Arabidopsis thaliana: one gene and its partner. The protein of the gene in region 1 purifies or fractionates together with the protein of each later gene. This does not show direct contact. Each region holds a gene or a part of one and is shown on either strand. Other genes may lie near its edges.

Region 1 (7,490 bases):
GTTGAAGGCAGTCGGGGACTCAAGGGGCGGTTACGGGTGTTGGGCTGTCGATAGGTTACCCCACTGCATCAGATGGACCACCAGCTGGGCTTGTTGTTATATCAGCTGCTCCAGGAGGTCCTGCAAATAGGGCGGGGATATTACCTGGCGATGTTATTCAAGGAATTGATAATACAACCACAGAAACTCTTACCATATACGATGCTGCACAGATGTTGCAGTGAGTTACATTTCCATTTTTCATCATTCCTTAACTTTGAAAAATCTAAGTGTGACGAGTTAATGGTTCTGAAGTAAGAAATGATGATAATGCTTTGGTTGAAATGCAGGGGACCTGAAGGAAGTGCAGTGGAGCTAGCGATTCGCAGTGGACCTGAAACGAGACTCTTAACTTTGACGTATTTCTCTCATGCCTACATTTATCTTCGTTGTCACGTTCATTTGGTAACTACAATTGTTGTTATTTCAGGCGAGAGCGGGTTTCTGTGAATCCAGTGAAGTCAAGATTATGTGAACTTCCTGGTTCTGGGAGTAACTCCCCTAAGATTGGCTATATCAAGCTAACAACATTCAATCAAAATGCTTCTAGTATGTATTCTTTGGCATTACTGATTCCTTCTTACAAATTTATCTACTCTCTAGTTTATTATCTCTCAAAGTCTTAACACTTTTTTTGTAGGTGCGGTAAGGGAAGCTATTGAAACCTTGAGAGGCAACAATGTAAACGCATTCGTCTTGGACCTTCGAGACAATAGGTGATGATTTTTTGAGAACATAAACTCTTTTTTGCTTTTGCAACAGCCTTTCTTAAAAAAATTGTTCTTGCTGCAGTGGAGGTTCTTTCCCAGAAGGAATTGAGATTGCTAAATTTTGGTAATAACCTCATAAACCGTTACATATAACGAATTAGAAAATTTCAAGATCCACAGCTATCATAATAGAAACTTCAACATTTGCTATCCACAGGTTAGATAAAGGAGTGATTGTGTATATTTGCGATAGTCGAGGTGTTAGAGATATATATGATACTGATGGAAGCAATGCTATAGCAACCTCTGAGCCTCTTGCCGTTCTTGTATGAGCTTCCATCCTTCCTTTCCTCAAATCTAGTCCTTATTGTAATCTGTAAATGCCATGAAAGATTTCATTCTCACACAATCTTTCTCTTTTCCAGGTTAACAAAGGCACCGCGAGTGCCAGCGAGATATTAGCAGGTGCCTTGAAAGATAATAAACGTGCTCTGGTTTATGGAGAACCAACTTACGGAAAAGGGTAAACAAAATGGCGCTATTTTTTATTCTTCTTCTCAGAGACCGAACCGTAAAATTCCTGAGACTTTAACGCATTTTGCAGCAAGATACAGTCGGTTTTTGAGCTTTCTGATGGTTCGGGCTTGGCAGTAACAGTTGCTCGATATGAAACACCAGCTCACACAGATATAGACAAAGTATGAAACTACTTTCTTCCTGTAGTAACCCCCTCTGTGTCTACACTACACTACATACAAACATGTTCTTACAGTCTTGACTCGTTGCTGGTTGTTGTATAGGTCGGTGTAACTCCTGATCATCCATTGCCAAAGTCGTTTCCGAAAGATGAAGAGGCGTTCTGTGGATGCCTTAAGGATCCTACAGCTGCTTGTTATCTCAATCAAGGCCTACTTTTTTCTAGATGATTTTGTTTTGTTCAAACTTTGTTCTGACAACATATGACTAAAATTTATTGACTCAAGCTTTGTACTTTTGAAGATTCGCCATAGCTTTAGCTAATCGAAACCAGAAATTTCACATTTAAGAACACAAACAGAGGATTTTCCTTCAGAACCAAGTTATATTACAGAGACAAAGCAGTAACACTCTCTCCTTCAGAACCAAGACTCAGCAAACACAAGCCAAATCAAACCAAAGTGAACTACTCTATATACTCGATAACAAGAAACAAGAGACCAATAGTCCAACAGACTAAATTGTAGGAACAAAGAGAGTCGTGACAAACATATACTCATTGATGCTTCTTGATTGATGATGAAGCACTTGTCCATGCTTTTATGAGCTTGGGGAAATCAAACTGCGAGCACTATAATAACAATCATGAGCACGATACCAAAAATCACCAAGAGCAAGCACGTCTACAAGAAAAAGAAAAAACAATGGAAAGAAGAAGTTAGTAGGCTGATCTGATCATCCAAAATCCTCAAAAACACATTTCATGGTACGATCAAAAGCTTTAATATATTACCAGAGAAGAATTTGATCTTTGTGTCTTTGATGCCTTACGAGATGGGATTTTCCTTGGGCAGTTGCAGCGTAAGAGTTATCGATGTGAGTACCAATATCATCTACACAAAAATAGGTCTTACGTCTTAGGTTTTGAAGACATAAGTGAGAGTTTTAGCATAACAAGAGTTGGAATCAGTTTTACCTATCATGTTTCCTTGATCGTGCACCAACACTGCCAAGTCTTTGAAGATCTCGTGCACCTCGCCAATTTGCTGCTGAATTTCTTGTATCCCTTGCTCTCTTTCCTCAATAACAGCCTCATTGAACGCAATCTCATTGTCCAACAGTACAAGTTCTTGTCTGCAACAAAAAACAACAAACCAATCAATAGATAACTCATCAACCGAACAAAGATGGACACCATTGTCTGTATAAACTAACCTTTTTGATTCCACAAGAAGGGCACGCTGCTCTGGATGCTTATCTCCATTCACATCTATCTCACTGGATGTGTAGCTACATTACCAAAGCCAGGAAATCAATACACAAAACCACAAAAGTAAACATAAACCATCAATGAGCATTAACCTTGAGGGAAGAGATGGCTTGTGGACAAGAGGAGCATATACGGTTTCTCTTTCAGCAGCAAGACGCTGAGCCTTTTGAAACTCTTTCAACACAGCTTGAAAGTCCTTTGCAAGCTTAGCATCCACAATCTTCTTCTTTTGCTAACCAACCAATCAAATTCCTATTAATCAACAGAAGTAGCAGAAGAAGAACAAGAATCTTCCTTTATCATAAATGACTCACATTTACACCTCTTTGATGATCAGTTTCACTAGCTTCTTTAAGTTTAGCTGATGTATCTTTCACTAACTGTCCAATATATAATCTTGTCTTATGCCTAAAACAAGCAAATTGACTCAATTAGAAACAATTTCAAGTACCCTAAAACTCAAAAAGGAGATAACTTTAACTTTGAGAAGTACTTACAGCTTCTCTCTGAGCTCAGGCGTATCTTTAGGAGTACCAAGAGTATTGACAAGACGATGGAAAGTGGAAACACTTGTATTGATCTGAAATATACCAGAAGCAACATCTTGAGTCGTGTCTTGTCTACTACCACCACCATTGATGTTCCTTGAAGAAGCTAATGATCTTCCTCTTCCCGCCTCTAAATCTTGAAAACTCATTCTTTCTCTCTCTTTCTCGAAAACCCCGCCACTAAATTATCCTCTTTTATTCGCCCAAGAAAACAAAGCAACAACAAAATTCGATTTACAGTCGATAACGGAGATCGAGGGAAGAGAGGATGTGATGGTGATTTCAAGATTCCCCGGTGAGTTTCTCTCTCTCCGGACAGATTGAGAAAAAACGTGAACCGCGGAGAGAGAGATTGAGCAAAACGTGAAATGTCACATTACCTGTATGAACGGAAAAAGCTTGTACTTTTTTCATTTTTTGATCCTTAACTTTTCTATAATATTCCAAACGTGACTCTATAGTTTAGAATCTTAACGGTATATCCTCCTTTTATTATAAAGTGATAAATGGTCTACGATGATTACATTGCTCTGAGCTCAGGACACGTGGATGGTAGACATTGGTGGAGAAAGTGATTATGTCACGACGTTAATTGATTATTTTAACCAAGATACTAACAGATTACGGATTAATTAGAATTAGATTAAGGATTATGATAGATTAGTCCAGAATTTAATGAATAAAATCTCTAGATAGAACTTTACGTGACTAAAAAGGGTCAAAAGCAAAAGAAGTTTAAAATTAGGACTCTTTTTTAATCATCGCACGTGAGAAGGTTCCGACCATATCACGTGCCAAACCCGAATAAGACTCGTTTTTCCAAGGCGTTTAAAATCAGGTCCCACTTTTTTCTTTTATTTTTCACTCTTCTTCACATCAAATCCGCGACCAGAGATTTTTCTTTCCTTTGATTTTTCGTTTCGTTTCGTTTCAAATATTGTTCCTCCTGTGTGAAGGAAAAACAATCTTCCATTTCAATCCGCGTCAACGCGATTTTCTTCATGACGGTGAGCTTATCTAATCTCTTCGCTTTTTGAAACTAGTTAGTTTTGGTTTTTGTTTTGGATTTATCCTGAGAAAGGTCGATGTTTTTGCTGTTGATTTGATTGAGGAAGATGTGAACAGATCTGTTGATTTTGATTGTTGTTTTCTAATTTGTTTTGCGAGAAATGGCGTTGATTATTAGTGAAGAATCGCTAGTTTTTTTATTTTAGAGGATTTGAAGCTGTTCTCTGTTTTTGATTTGGGTGAAAATTACTGTTTCTGATATGAAGAAATTTTTTTTTAGGGTAAAATTGCTTTTGTTTGGATTAGGATATTCACTTTAGCATTTGTTTTGTTTTGTAATCTGTTAATATCTGATCTGTGCCATAGGATTAGTTTTGAGACAAGTATTTGCTTTTCCTAGATTCTGAGGTTCTTTTTATCTTCTTGTATTGATGATGCAATGTTTCTGTGTTTTCTGATCATTGTATTGATAATATTGGTTGCTTTAGGAGTGTGTGTGTGTGTGTTTAGTCATTGTTTTAGGCGATAAGGAATCGAGAAATGTGTAATCGAACAACTAATGAATAAGTCTGAGATTTTGTTTAGCTGGTGAAATGGTTTGAAATTTTAGTTTTTAAGTCACACGAGATTATATTTCACTTGCAGATGACAACAGTTAAAGTGAGCAATGTTTCTCTAGGAGCAACCGATAGAGATCTCAAGGAGTTCTTTTCCTTTTCTGGCGATATTCTGTACCTTGAGACGCAGAGGTTTGGTTTCCTCTCTATTGTTCCTTTTGAAAGTTTTAGATTACAGCTTTTAGTTCGTCAGGTTCTTAACTCTTTTGACATGTTTGTACAGCGAGACTGAGCGGACTAAACTGGCATATGTCACTTTTAAGGATCTACAAGGAGCTGAAACTGCGGTTCTTCTCTCGGTATTTTTACTTCTTAGCCTGTATTAGTTCCTCTATATGACTGTATCCTTTGAGTGACTGAGTATTAATGTAATTCTTTCATTTCAGGGAGCAACGATTGTTGATTCTTCAGTCATTGTCTCTATGGCTCCTGATTACCAACTGTCCCCTGAGGCTTTAGCTTCCTTGGTAAGCTCGTAATTCATCATCTCTTCTGAGTTTTTTCACAAGTTAAAATCTTACCATTTCATCTTTTTCACAGGAACCCAAGGACAGCAATAAATCTCCCAAGGCAGGTGACTCCGTGTTGAGAAAAGCCGAAGATGTTGTGAGCAGCATGCTTGCAAAGGGCTTTATCCTGGGAAAAGATGCCATAGCTAAAGCCAAAAGTGTTGACGAGAAGCACCAGCTAACATCTACAGCATCAGCCAAAGTCGCATCTTTTGACAAGAAAATTGGTTTCACTGATAAGATCAACACAGGCACGGTGGTAGTGGGAGAAAAGGTCAGGGAAGTTGATCAGAAGTACCAAGTCTCAGAGAAAACCAAATCAGCAATCGCTGCAGCGGAGCAGACAGTGAGCAATGCAGGTTCAGCTATAATGAAGAACCGGTATGTTCTCACAGGTGCCACGTGGGTTACTGGAGCATTCAACAAAGTTGCTAAAGCTGCAGAAGAAGTTGGACAAAAGGCTAAAGAGAAAGTTGGTATGGCTGAGGAAGAGGATAAGAGGAAAGTGGTTGATGAGTTTGCTAGAGTTCACTTGTCTGAATCACCAAAGGCAGCTTCATCAACGCAAGAAGCCGAACGTGAATCAAAACTCTCTGAATCTCCTGAAGCAAAGAAAGATTCTGAACATCTTGAGCCACAATCGAAACCATTGCAGCAACAATCTCCTCCACCTATGGCTTCAGCTCCTGCTCCGGCTCAACCTTGAGATATGCAATCAAAGACCTTTCTGATTCTTGTTGTAAACGGTAAAACTTGGAACTAATCTCTCTCAGATTGTTGAAGATGAAGATTGAACTTGTTATTTAGGACGAAGACTTGTGTTCTTGTAACATTGGATTCATGGTCGATTTGGTAATTAGACCTTAAAAAGAAAACAATTTTGTTCTTTTCGTTTTTCTTAAACTTATTTAAACCGGGCTAATCATCATGGTTAACTGAACCAAATACCGATCGATTTTTATTTTAAAATCAAAAATTTGATTAGAGCAATTAGCCCGTCAAGTGATTTTATGTAACTGAAAGTAACAAACCAAAGTAGATGTTACAAACACATTTGACAGGAAACGCTTTGTCGGTGATCTAAGAACTCTAATTATAAGAAGATTTTAAGCACTTTAAATTCAAAGAAGTATCAATTAAGAATAAATGTATATATTGACATTTGACAAAACTAAAGGAATAAAATCTCGACCAGTTAAACGCATTTATCAAAATATTTTGTTCTCAAGTGAAAAAAGAACAGATTTATTCATGGTATAAAAGGAAAAAGACAATTCGTTTTCTCACAATTATATATTGTTTGTAAACACATCATCTTAATTGTGCAAACAATATCAAAATTATACAAATAGAAAAGAGCACAGAAAAAAATGGAGAAGTCAGCTTTGATATTCATCGGTATTCTACTTTTTTCAACATGTGAGTTTCACAACTAAATTTATGTACCAATTGTATTCATCATCCTTATCATGTCATGAGCGTTTCTATAAATCATTTCGGTGATTTTTAGCAGGTACATCGATTATGGCACGAACTGGATATGTATCTTGCAAGACGAATTCTGACTGTGTTAAACTCAAATGTCCAACGCCATTTGGTGGCCCCAAATGTATTAGCGGTAGTTGTGAATGCCCCTTTAAAGAACTCATGACATTACCGAATGATACCAATTATGGTGTGGCTGCCTGCATTGACTATTGCAAGGCAAAAGGTGAAATTGTTTATGCATGTATCTTAAACCATTGTTACTCTTACAAACCTCCCATGTAATTTTATTAAGTTTTTGCGCATAAGGTTTTCAAATATCTAATTTTATCACTATTAATATCTTTTGAATATCGATAATATCATTTAATTACTATAGTTTATGTTTGGACATTTGACTGAAAATTAAACTTATAGTTTGAATGTTTTTCTTTCACTTATTTGTTAGATTCATTTGTATATTTTGTGTACTTAATCGTTTATGAACATAAGACAAGTTAAATTGATATTTTATCAGGTTTGTTAGTGTCCTAAATTATACTTGTTTTACATAAATATTAGATATTCATTAAAAATATATTTCTCTATGGAAATTAAAGAAACAACAA
Region 2 (8,464 bases), on another chromosome or scaffold:
CTTGCAGTAATGTGTTTGAAGATGTTTCAAACCTGCTATCAAAGAATGCCTTCCCAGTTAATGGGCCTTTATCTGCTATGCATATACTTGCATTGGATGGGTTAATTTCTATGGTTCAGGGAATGGCTGAGAGAGTGGGTGAAGAATTGCCGGCTTCAGATGTTCCTACACATGAAGAACGATATGAAGAATTCTGGACAGTGAGATGTGAGAATTACGGAGATCCTAATTTTTGGGTTCCCTTTGTCCGAAAGGTCAAGCATATAAAGAAAAAGCTGATGCTTGGGGCTGATCGTTTTAACCGTGATCCTAATAAAGGCTTACAGTATCTTCAAGGGGTGCACTTGTTGCCCGAGAAACTTGATCCAAAGAGTGTGGCATGTTTCTTCAGGTATACATGTGGGTTAGATAAGAATGTTATGGGAGATTTCCTCGGAAATCATGACCAGTTCTGTATTCAGGTGCTTCATGAGTTTGCCAAGACGTTCGACTTCCAGAACATGAATCTTGCTACAGCCCTGCGTCTTTTTGTGGGTACCTTTAAATTGTCTGGCGAGGCACAGAAGATACACAGGGTACTGGAGGCGTTTTCTGAGAGATACTATGAGCAGTCACCACACATACTGATTGATAAAGATGCTGCCTTCGTGTTAGCTTACTCGATTATCTTGCTGAACACAGATCAGCACAACGCCCAGGTGAAAACAAGGATGACTGAAGAAGATTTCATCCGTAACAACAGGACAATAAATGGAGGCGCAGACCTTCCTAGAGAGTACCTATCTGAGATTTATCACTCAATCCGCCACAGTGAGATTCAGATGGACGAAGATAAAGGAACCGGCTTCCAACTGATGACAGCCAGTCGTTGGATTAGTGTGATTTACAAATCCAAAGAAACGAGTCCCTATATCCAATGTGACGCAGCATCCCATCTGGACCGTGACATGTTTTATATCGTGTCTGGTCCCACTATTGCTGCTACATCAGTGGTTTTTGAGCAAGCAGAGCAAGAAGATGTTTTGCGGAGATGTATTGATGGGTTATTGGCCATTGCAAAACTTTCAGCATATTATCATTTGAATAGTGTTTTGGATGATCTGGTCGTGTCTCTCTGCAAATTCACACCCTTCTTCGCCCCATTATCTGCTGATGAAGCTGTTCTTGTTCTAGGAGAAGATGCCAGAGCCAGAATGGCTACTGAAGCTGTTTTCTTGATTGCAAATAAATATGGTGACTATATTAGTGCGGGCTGGAAAAACATACTGGAATGTGTCTTGAGCCTCAACAAACTCCACATTTTACCAGATCATATAGCTAGTGATGCAGCGGATGACCCAGAGCTGTCAACTAGTAACTTGGAGCAAGAAAAACCTTCGGCAAATCCCGTGCCAGTCGTATCACAGTCACAACCCTCAGCGATGCCTCGAAAATCATCTAGTTTTATTGGTCGGTTTCTTCTGTCTTTTGATTCTGAGGAAACAAAGCCATTACCAAGCGAGGAAGAATTGGCAGCTTATAAACACGCTCGTGGGATAGTGAAAGATTGTCATATTGATAGCATATTCTCAGACAGCAAGTTTCTCCAAGCTGAGTCTCTGCAGCAGCTTGTTAACTCTCTTATAAGAGCATCCGGGAAAGATGAAGCTAGTTCGGTCTTTTGCCTGGAGCTTCTGATTGCGGTAACGCTGAACAACCGAGACAGAATCCTACTGATTTGGCCAACAGTTTATGAGCATATCTTGGGTATAGTTCAATTAACATTAACACCATGCACGCTTGTTGAAAAGGCTGTTTTTGGTGTACTGAAGATTTGCCAGAGATTATTACCATACAAGGAAAACCTAACAGATGAACTTCTGAAATCACTCCAACTGGTTCTCAAGCTGAAAGCAAAAGTGGCTGATGCATACTGTGAACGCATTGCACAAGAAGTTGTTCGTCTTGTAAAAGCAAACGCATCTCACGTTAGATCCCGTACTGGTTGGCGAACGATTATATCTCTGCTATCAATCACAGCTCGGCATCCAGAAGCTTCTGAAGCTGGATTCGAAGCCCTCCGGTTTATAATGTCAGAAGGAGCTCACTTGTTACCATCAAACTACGAGCTCTGTTTGGATGCAGCCAGTCACTTTGCTGAATCCCGAGTTGGTGAAGTCGATCGGTCTATCTCAGCAATTGACTTAATGTCAAACTCTGTGTTTTGTCTTGCAAGATGGTCTCAAGAGGCGAAAAACTCGATTGGTGAAACTGATGCTATGATGAAACTAAGTGAAGATATTGGAAAAATGTGGCTCAAACTTGTGAAGAACCTCAAAAAAGTATGTCTTGATCAACGCGACGAAGTGAGAAACCATGCAATCTCAATGCTGCAACGAGCTATAGCCGGTGCAGACGGGATCATGTTACCACAACCTCTATGGTTCCAATGCTTTGATTCCGCAGTCTTCATATTGCTAGACGATGTGCTCACTTTTTCGATCGAGAATTCAAGGAAGACTCTCAAGAAAACAGTGGAAGAAACGCTTGTTCTCGCCACAAAGCTCATGTCAAAAGCTTTTCTGCAATCTCTTCAAGACATCTCACAGCAACCATCATTCTGCAGACTTTGGGTTGGTGTCTTAAACCGTTTGGAAACGTACATGTCAACTGAATTCAGAGGAAAACGCAGCGAGAAAGTCAATGAACTCATCCCGGAACTGCTCAAGAACACATTACTGGTAATGAAGGCGACGGGAGTTTTATTACCAGGTGATGATATCGGAAGTGACAGTTTCTGGCAACTAACGTGGCTTCACGTTAATAAGATCTCTCCTTCTCTTCAATCTGAAGTTTTCCCTCAAGAGGAGCTTGATCAGTTTCAGAGACGAAACGCGAAGCCTGAGGATCCTCCGGTACCGGGAAATGAGGTCTGAGACGGTTTTGGTGGAATAGAGAAAATTTGTTCTATACAGATGAAAAAGCTTAATCAAGGATATCAATTTTTTTTTTGCAGTATAGCTTTTTTGTTTTTAATATAGGGGGATTATAATACTTTGGAGTCTTGAGCTTTTGTTTTTTTTATGGAATGTTATGTTGAAATTATGGGTTTGATTGGAAATATATTTGGAGGCAATTTGGAAACTGCTGCGTCTATTATACAAAGAACTTGAAAAATTCAATGGTACTGACAAAGAAAAATGGTACTCATCAAAACCAGAAAAGAAAAGTAAATTTTTGGTCCAAATCTCACTATTTTAATAACATTTTTTAAAAACAAAGAATTAAGAACAAAAACAAAATGACCTATAAAATTTTGGACTCTAATTCTTGGCTTGTGTGACTTTATTAACAGTTAAATATTACAAATTTTCAAACTCTTAAAAATTTAAACTTTATAAAACGTTTTAAATATTTATAATTTATAAACTTTATGAAGTTTTAAATATTATAAATATTTGTTATAATTTTGAATGTTATAAATTTATAAACGAAAAGAACTTGAAAAATTCAATGAAAACGAGTAACGACAAAGAAAAATGATAATCATCAAAACCAAATCTCAATATTTTAATAACATTTAAAGTTTTTAAAAAACCCAAAAAATTAACTAGTAGGCCTGGGCATAATACCCGGAACCGAATATCCGAACCGAAAAACCCGAAAAATAACCAAACCGAACCCGAATCCGATTTTTAGAATTACCCGAATGGGTCCTCGACCTTACTACCCGAAAAAACCCGAACCGAACCCGAACCGAATCTAATACCCGTGGGTACCCGAATACGAATGTAACTTAAATATATTAGTTATATATATATATTTGTAATACCTCAAATACCAAAATTAAAATTATAAATCCGATTATACTAGATTTTTTTAGTAATTCATATATATTTGGATATATTTGGGTAAAAGTAACAAATGTTATAGTTTTCTTTTAGATAATTTAAGTATTTTGGTTACATTTGGTTATATTTGTATAAAAAGTAACCAATATATTTACGGGTAATTGGGTATTTCGGGTTGATTTGGGTATATATGAATAAAAAAACCGAATCTAACCCGAACCCAAAAATATTTTGGGTATTTTTGGTTATTTTTACATTTTTACTAAAATAACCGAACCGACCCAAACCCGAACCGAAACCGAACCGAATTTTTAGAATACTCGAATGGTTCTCAACCTCCTACCCGAATAGACCCAATACCCGGAAAAAAAAACGAACCCGAACGGGTACCCGAATGCCCACGCCTCAATTAAGAACAGAAAAAGAAAAAAACTAACTTTCAGTGACCTATAAAAGTTTGGGCCCTAGAAGAGTCTTTTCGCAACACCAAAAATGGCAGATCCGCAAGCCCAACAAGGCAGTGGCATTGCCAAAAGATCTGGACAAAAAAAAGGCCAAGTGGTGTACAAAGCCTAGATGTAGGATATAATTACTCAACCGTCGAACATATTTTCCATAGATCATTCATAGACGTACGCATCATCAAATCAATTCATCGTCGTCTTCCACAATTGTCATCACCGATCGATTTTCCGACTCCGACGTACCTCCTCTTCCCCGTTACCTTCTCAGGTCTCAATCTGGCTTTCTCTATTTTTCGCCTAATTCCTCTTTTTCTGATTGTGATTCTGCTTTCTAATTTTGATCCTAATTTTTTGTGCTTATACTCCGGCTAAACTCTTCCATTTGTTCCGATCACCGGAATTTTCGTCACTTATTCGTCATCCTTTTTCTCTTTTGATCCGTCAATTTTACTTTTCTGTCTTTTTTTTTTCTCCTTTTTCCCCGTGTTGACATTTCTTTCTTCTGTACGTGATCTAGTTATCTTAGGGTTTTGGACTGCTATACAAAACAATCAATTGATTTTAGTTTTATCTTTTGAATCGTTGTAAGAATTTCAATAGCCTAGTCTTGTTGATGGTTTTGGGCTATTGAATCTGTTCTTAAAGTTTCAGCTTAATGTAATCTGTTCTTAATCAGAATTAGGGTTCATCATCATTGTGTGTGTTGCTGATTCTGCAGAGTTTTTAGTAGTCTTCCTTTGGAACAATGAGTGACGTGTTTGATGGATATGAGCGACAATACTGTGAGCTCTCGGCGAGTCTTTCAAAGAAGTGTTCCTCTGCTATTTCGCTTGATGGAGGTAAAATTGTTACTCTAATCTTTTCTAAGATGTGATACTTTTCCTACTCAGGCATTGCCTTACCTTCCTTAAGATTTGAAATAACTAATTCTGGTTTAGCTTATGAATGTAACAATGTACGAATTAGAGATATCTTGGTTTGTGTTTTTGATGCAGAGTATTGTGCGATTTAGATCCTTTAATTACTACTTCGTTGTAAGGACATAGTATTGGTTTCTGATTACGAAGAGAGCTTGTGATTAGTATTGGTCGCTGATCATCGCCATTTTTTTACACTGGGGATACTTCGGTTTTTGTTTGTTACTGAGAACGATTCTATAGATAGTTTGGTTTGTGTTTGATGACTATAAACTTCTTGTCTCCTTCATGTGTTGCTAGGACATAGTAGTGTGCCTTTCTTTTGCTTTCTTTGGAGATTGTGATTAGTAGTGTTCGCTGATCATCGGGATTGTTTTTTTTCCCCTAGATGAGTATGCTCTGTTGATTGCATAGATAAAAATGCATTGATGATACCTTATTAATTTGCAGAACAAAAGAAGCAGAAGTTGTCTGAAATAAAATCCGGGCTGGAAAATGCAGAAGTATTGGTATGTGATATGCGTAACGTGAAGTTATAGAAGCTTCTCTATTGTCCATTATTCATTTTGATGCTTCTCTGTCCTTTTCTTCACCAGATTAGGAAAATGGATCTCGAGGCAAGGACCCTTCCACCTAATCTTAAGTCCAGCCTCCTTGTCAAATTAAGAGAATTCAAGTCTGATCTGAACAATTTCAAAACTGAAGTGAAGAGAATCACATCTGGACAGTTGAACGCTGCTGCTCGTGATGAGTTGCTAGAAGCTGGTATGGCTGACACAAAGACGGTATGTAAAGGACTCGGTAGTATTGTTTCAATTTTATCTCATCTCATATCTTTGCTATTAAAACGACCTATGATTTTCTTTTTTTATTGAAACGCTGAGATCAGGCTTCAGCTGATCAGAGAGCAAGATTGATGATGTCAACTGAGCGTCTGGGCCGAACCACTGACAGAGTCAAGGACAGTCGTAGAACAATGATGGAGACTGAAGAAATCGGTGTTTCAATCCTCCAAGACTTGCACGGTCAGAGACAGTCTCTCTTACGTGCCCACGAAACGGTATTGTCTCTCTGCAACACATTTACTCCATATTCTCAACGATATTCTGAACAAAGTGACAAAATAAGATGAGAATTAAGGGCTATATCATAAAGAAGACTATGTTTTCTTGTTTTCTTTATCAACGCTGGATTGATATCGCGCTAACCAAAATTTAGAACTCTGTTGACAGCTTCATGGAGTAGACGATAACATTGGAAAGAGCAAGAAGATCTTGACAGACATGACGAGGAGGATGAACAAGAACAAATGGACCATTGGAGCCATCATCATCGCATTGATTGCCGCCATTTTCATCATCTTGTACTTCAAACTCACCAAGTAAGCCTCTGTAACTAAATCCGACCAAATCAAAGAACAACGGTTGTTTTCGTTTTGTGAGTCTTTGATTTATCCTGTTTCTTCTTTTTGTGTGAAAAGTTGTTTTGCCACCTTTGTATTCTAAATTTGACCATACATACTTTAAGCAAGTAAAGCTTCGGCCTAAGTGTCACGTATATTGTTTATATTGTTCATATCAAATCCAGAACTATACATGGTTAAACATTGAGATTAAAAGCCTCAATTATTTCAAACAATCGAGGTCTACATCTCGCACAATTGTTCATATATTGGATCTAGAACTATACATGATCAAACATTGATATCAATTACTAGTGTTTTTTTCTTTCATATTTGAATTTGCTATAATCAGCGACCAAGCTCTCAATAACCCTATGCTTCATGTTATCCACCAAACCGGCCAAAATCTGTAAAGGGCCAATCAAAAACATAAATCATGTATAAACCCGGAACACAGCATTTTGAGTCTCCAATCGCATATATGAAACAAGACAGTTTCTTACCGCATTGGCCATGTTTCTCCTAACATCTTCTGGTACAAGCGCGAGAACTGAAGGAAGCACGAAGCTAATGGTCGTTTCTAGTCGACCTTTGAGCCTCGTGTGCCTTCCACGCCGGTCTGGGTATAATGCTCCTTTTACTCCAAGAGTGAAATCAGTTGGTTCCATTACTCGGTCAAGCCCTTGAAGCTCCCATTTCGTCTGAAAATCGTAATTCAAATGTTAAATCAATAAAAATTCTGACTAGTGAATTTGTGATTCATGTGGTGGTACAAATATAATATTACCATGTTGAGCTCAAGAACTTTGGTTATGTGTAGAGGTACGTCTGATGGGTAATCCTGACCGTTGGATTTGCATCTAATCCGCATGACCACCACTGGACACGCAGTGAGGAAGAAAAATTTTATTGGTAACATTTGGATTCTCCATTCTTCCTGCACAATAATTTCATCCGTAAGTAACAAAGCCTCAAAAAATAAACATAGTTAAAAAACATGAGGTAAGGAAAATCAAAACATGCTACTAGCAATGATGTTACATTCCAATAATTCAATGGGGACCTCTTGACAACAAGAATAATATCAAAATCTTAAAGAGATTTTACTGGTTTGTGACTTTGTGTATCTTGTTTCATTTCTCTTATGGATATATGTAATTTTATATATAGGTTTCTAAGAACTTACTAGGACACAACTAAGATTTGTGTATTCTTTTGTAACTACGAAACAATAGAAATTTCTATAAATTTATTTTTAATCCTTAATTGAATACAATTGATACTATTGAGGATTATAAATCCTTAATTATTTTGTTATTTTCACTATCACCAAAATTTGAAAGTCGATGGTCGAAAAACTCAAAAAGATTTATCAATTTTTCGAATCACTAAAAATTAAATAATCAAATAGAATAAACACTTTTAATCACATGCCTTGGAGTAAAAGTAAGTAAAGGAGTCTTGAAGAATGGTACCTCATTAAGCCTATAGTTTTTGGGTTTATCCGGAAACATTGCTTCGAAAACCCTTGATTTGTCTTCCAAATATTCATCAAACAAGGCCTGCAAAGATCGGCAAGAGATTCGATATTAAAACATTCATGTGTGTACACATATACAGACCCTATTATAGAATGAGAAAGAGACCTGAGGAGACTCGTGGAGAGCGATATCGGTTGATATTTTAGAGGAATACTTGGCGGATTTTACAGGTGACAAGTGACACTTCACTCTCCACCGTTTTGATCTAACCTGCCCACAACTTCCGATCATCCCCGGGCATGAATACACCGCAGAGCTTACCGCCATTTCACCAAGATTGGATCTTTGATCTTTCCCACATATCTTTATC

Evidence for each region.
Region 2: the proteins of SYP23 (region 1) and SGR4 fractionate together in Arabidopsis thaliana (co-fractionation; one study listed by BioGRID). This does not show direct contact.

What each region holds. Positions count from the first base shown.
Region 1 is NC_003075.7:9,861,273-9,868,762, reverse strand, and holds SYP23 (syntaxin of plants 23), read right to left. Parts: upstream 3,661-7,490; 5' UTR 3,413-3,660; coding exon 3,213-3,412; intron 3,124-3,212; coding exon 3,030-3,123; intron 2,948-3,029; coding exon 2,808-2,947; intron 2,736-2,807; coding exon 2,661-2,735; intron 2,580-2,660; coding exon 2,422-2,579; intron 2,339-2,421; coding exon 2,239-2,338; intron 2,129-2,238; coding exon of another isoform or gene 2,128-2,128; exon of another isoform or gene 2,068-2,127; coding exon 2,046-2,067; 3' UTR 1,741-2,045; downstream 1-1,740. Other genes in the region: AT4G17740 (Peptidase S41 family protein), read left to right, coding at 12-220, 330-398, 470-588, 680-755, 832-873, 967-1,075, 1,175-1,272, 1,354-1,447 and 1 more; AT4G17720 (RNA-binding (RRM/RBD/RNP motifs) family protein), read left to right, coding at 4,265-4,270, 4,917-5,020, 5,112-5,187, 5,275-5,355, 5,429-6,103; AT4G17718 (Defensin-like (DEFL) family protein), read left to right, coding at 6,768-6,816, 6,911-7,167. UniProt on the Arabidopsis thaliana protein: May function in the docking or fusion of transport vesicles with the prevacuolar membrane.
Region 2 is NC_003076.8:15,816,996-15,825,459, forward strand, and holds SGR4 (Vesicle transport v-SNARE family protein), read left to right. Parts: upstream 1-4,297; 5' UTR 4,298-4,562; intron 4,563-5,012; 5' UTR 5,013-5,039; coding exon 5,040-5,133; intron 5,134-5,223; exon of another isoform or gene 5,224-5,442; intron 5,443-5,661; coding exon 5,662-5,720; intron 5,721-5,807; coding exon 5,808-5,996; intron 5,997-6,100; coding exon 6,101-6,271; intron 6,272-6,443; coding exon 6,444-6,596; 3' UTR 6,597-6,845; downstream 6,846-8,464. Other genes in the region: GNL1 (GNOM-like 1), read left to right, coding at 1-2,915; AT5G39520 (hypothetical protein (DUF1997)), read right to left, coding at 6,925-7,020, 7,117-7,314, 7,401-7,550, 8,089-8,175, 8,260-8,421. UniProt on the Arabidopsis thaliana protein: Functions as a v-SNARE responsible for targeting AtELP-containing vesicles from the trans-Golgi network (TGN) to the prevacuolar compartment (PVC) and mediates liposome fusion. May be also involved in retrograde traffic to the cis-Golgi.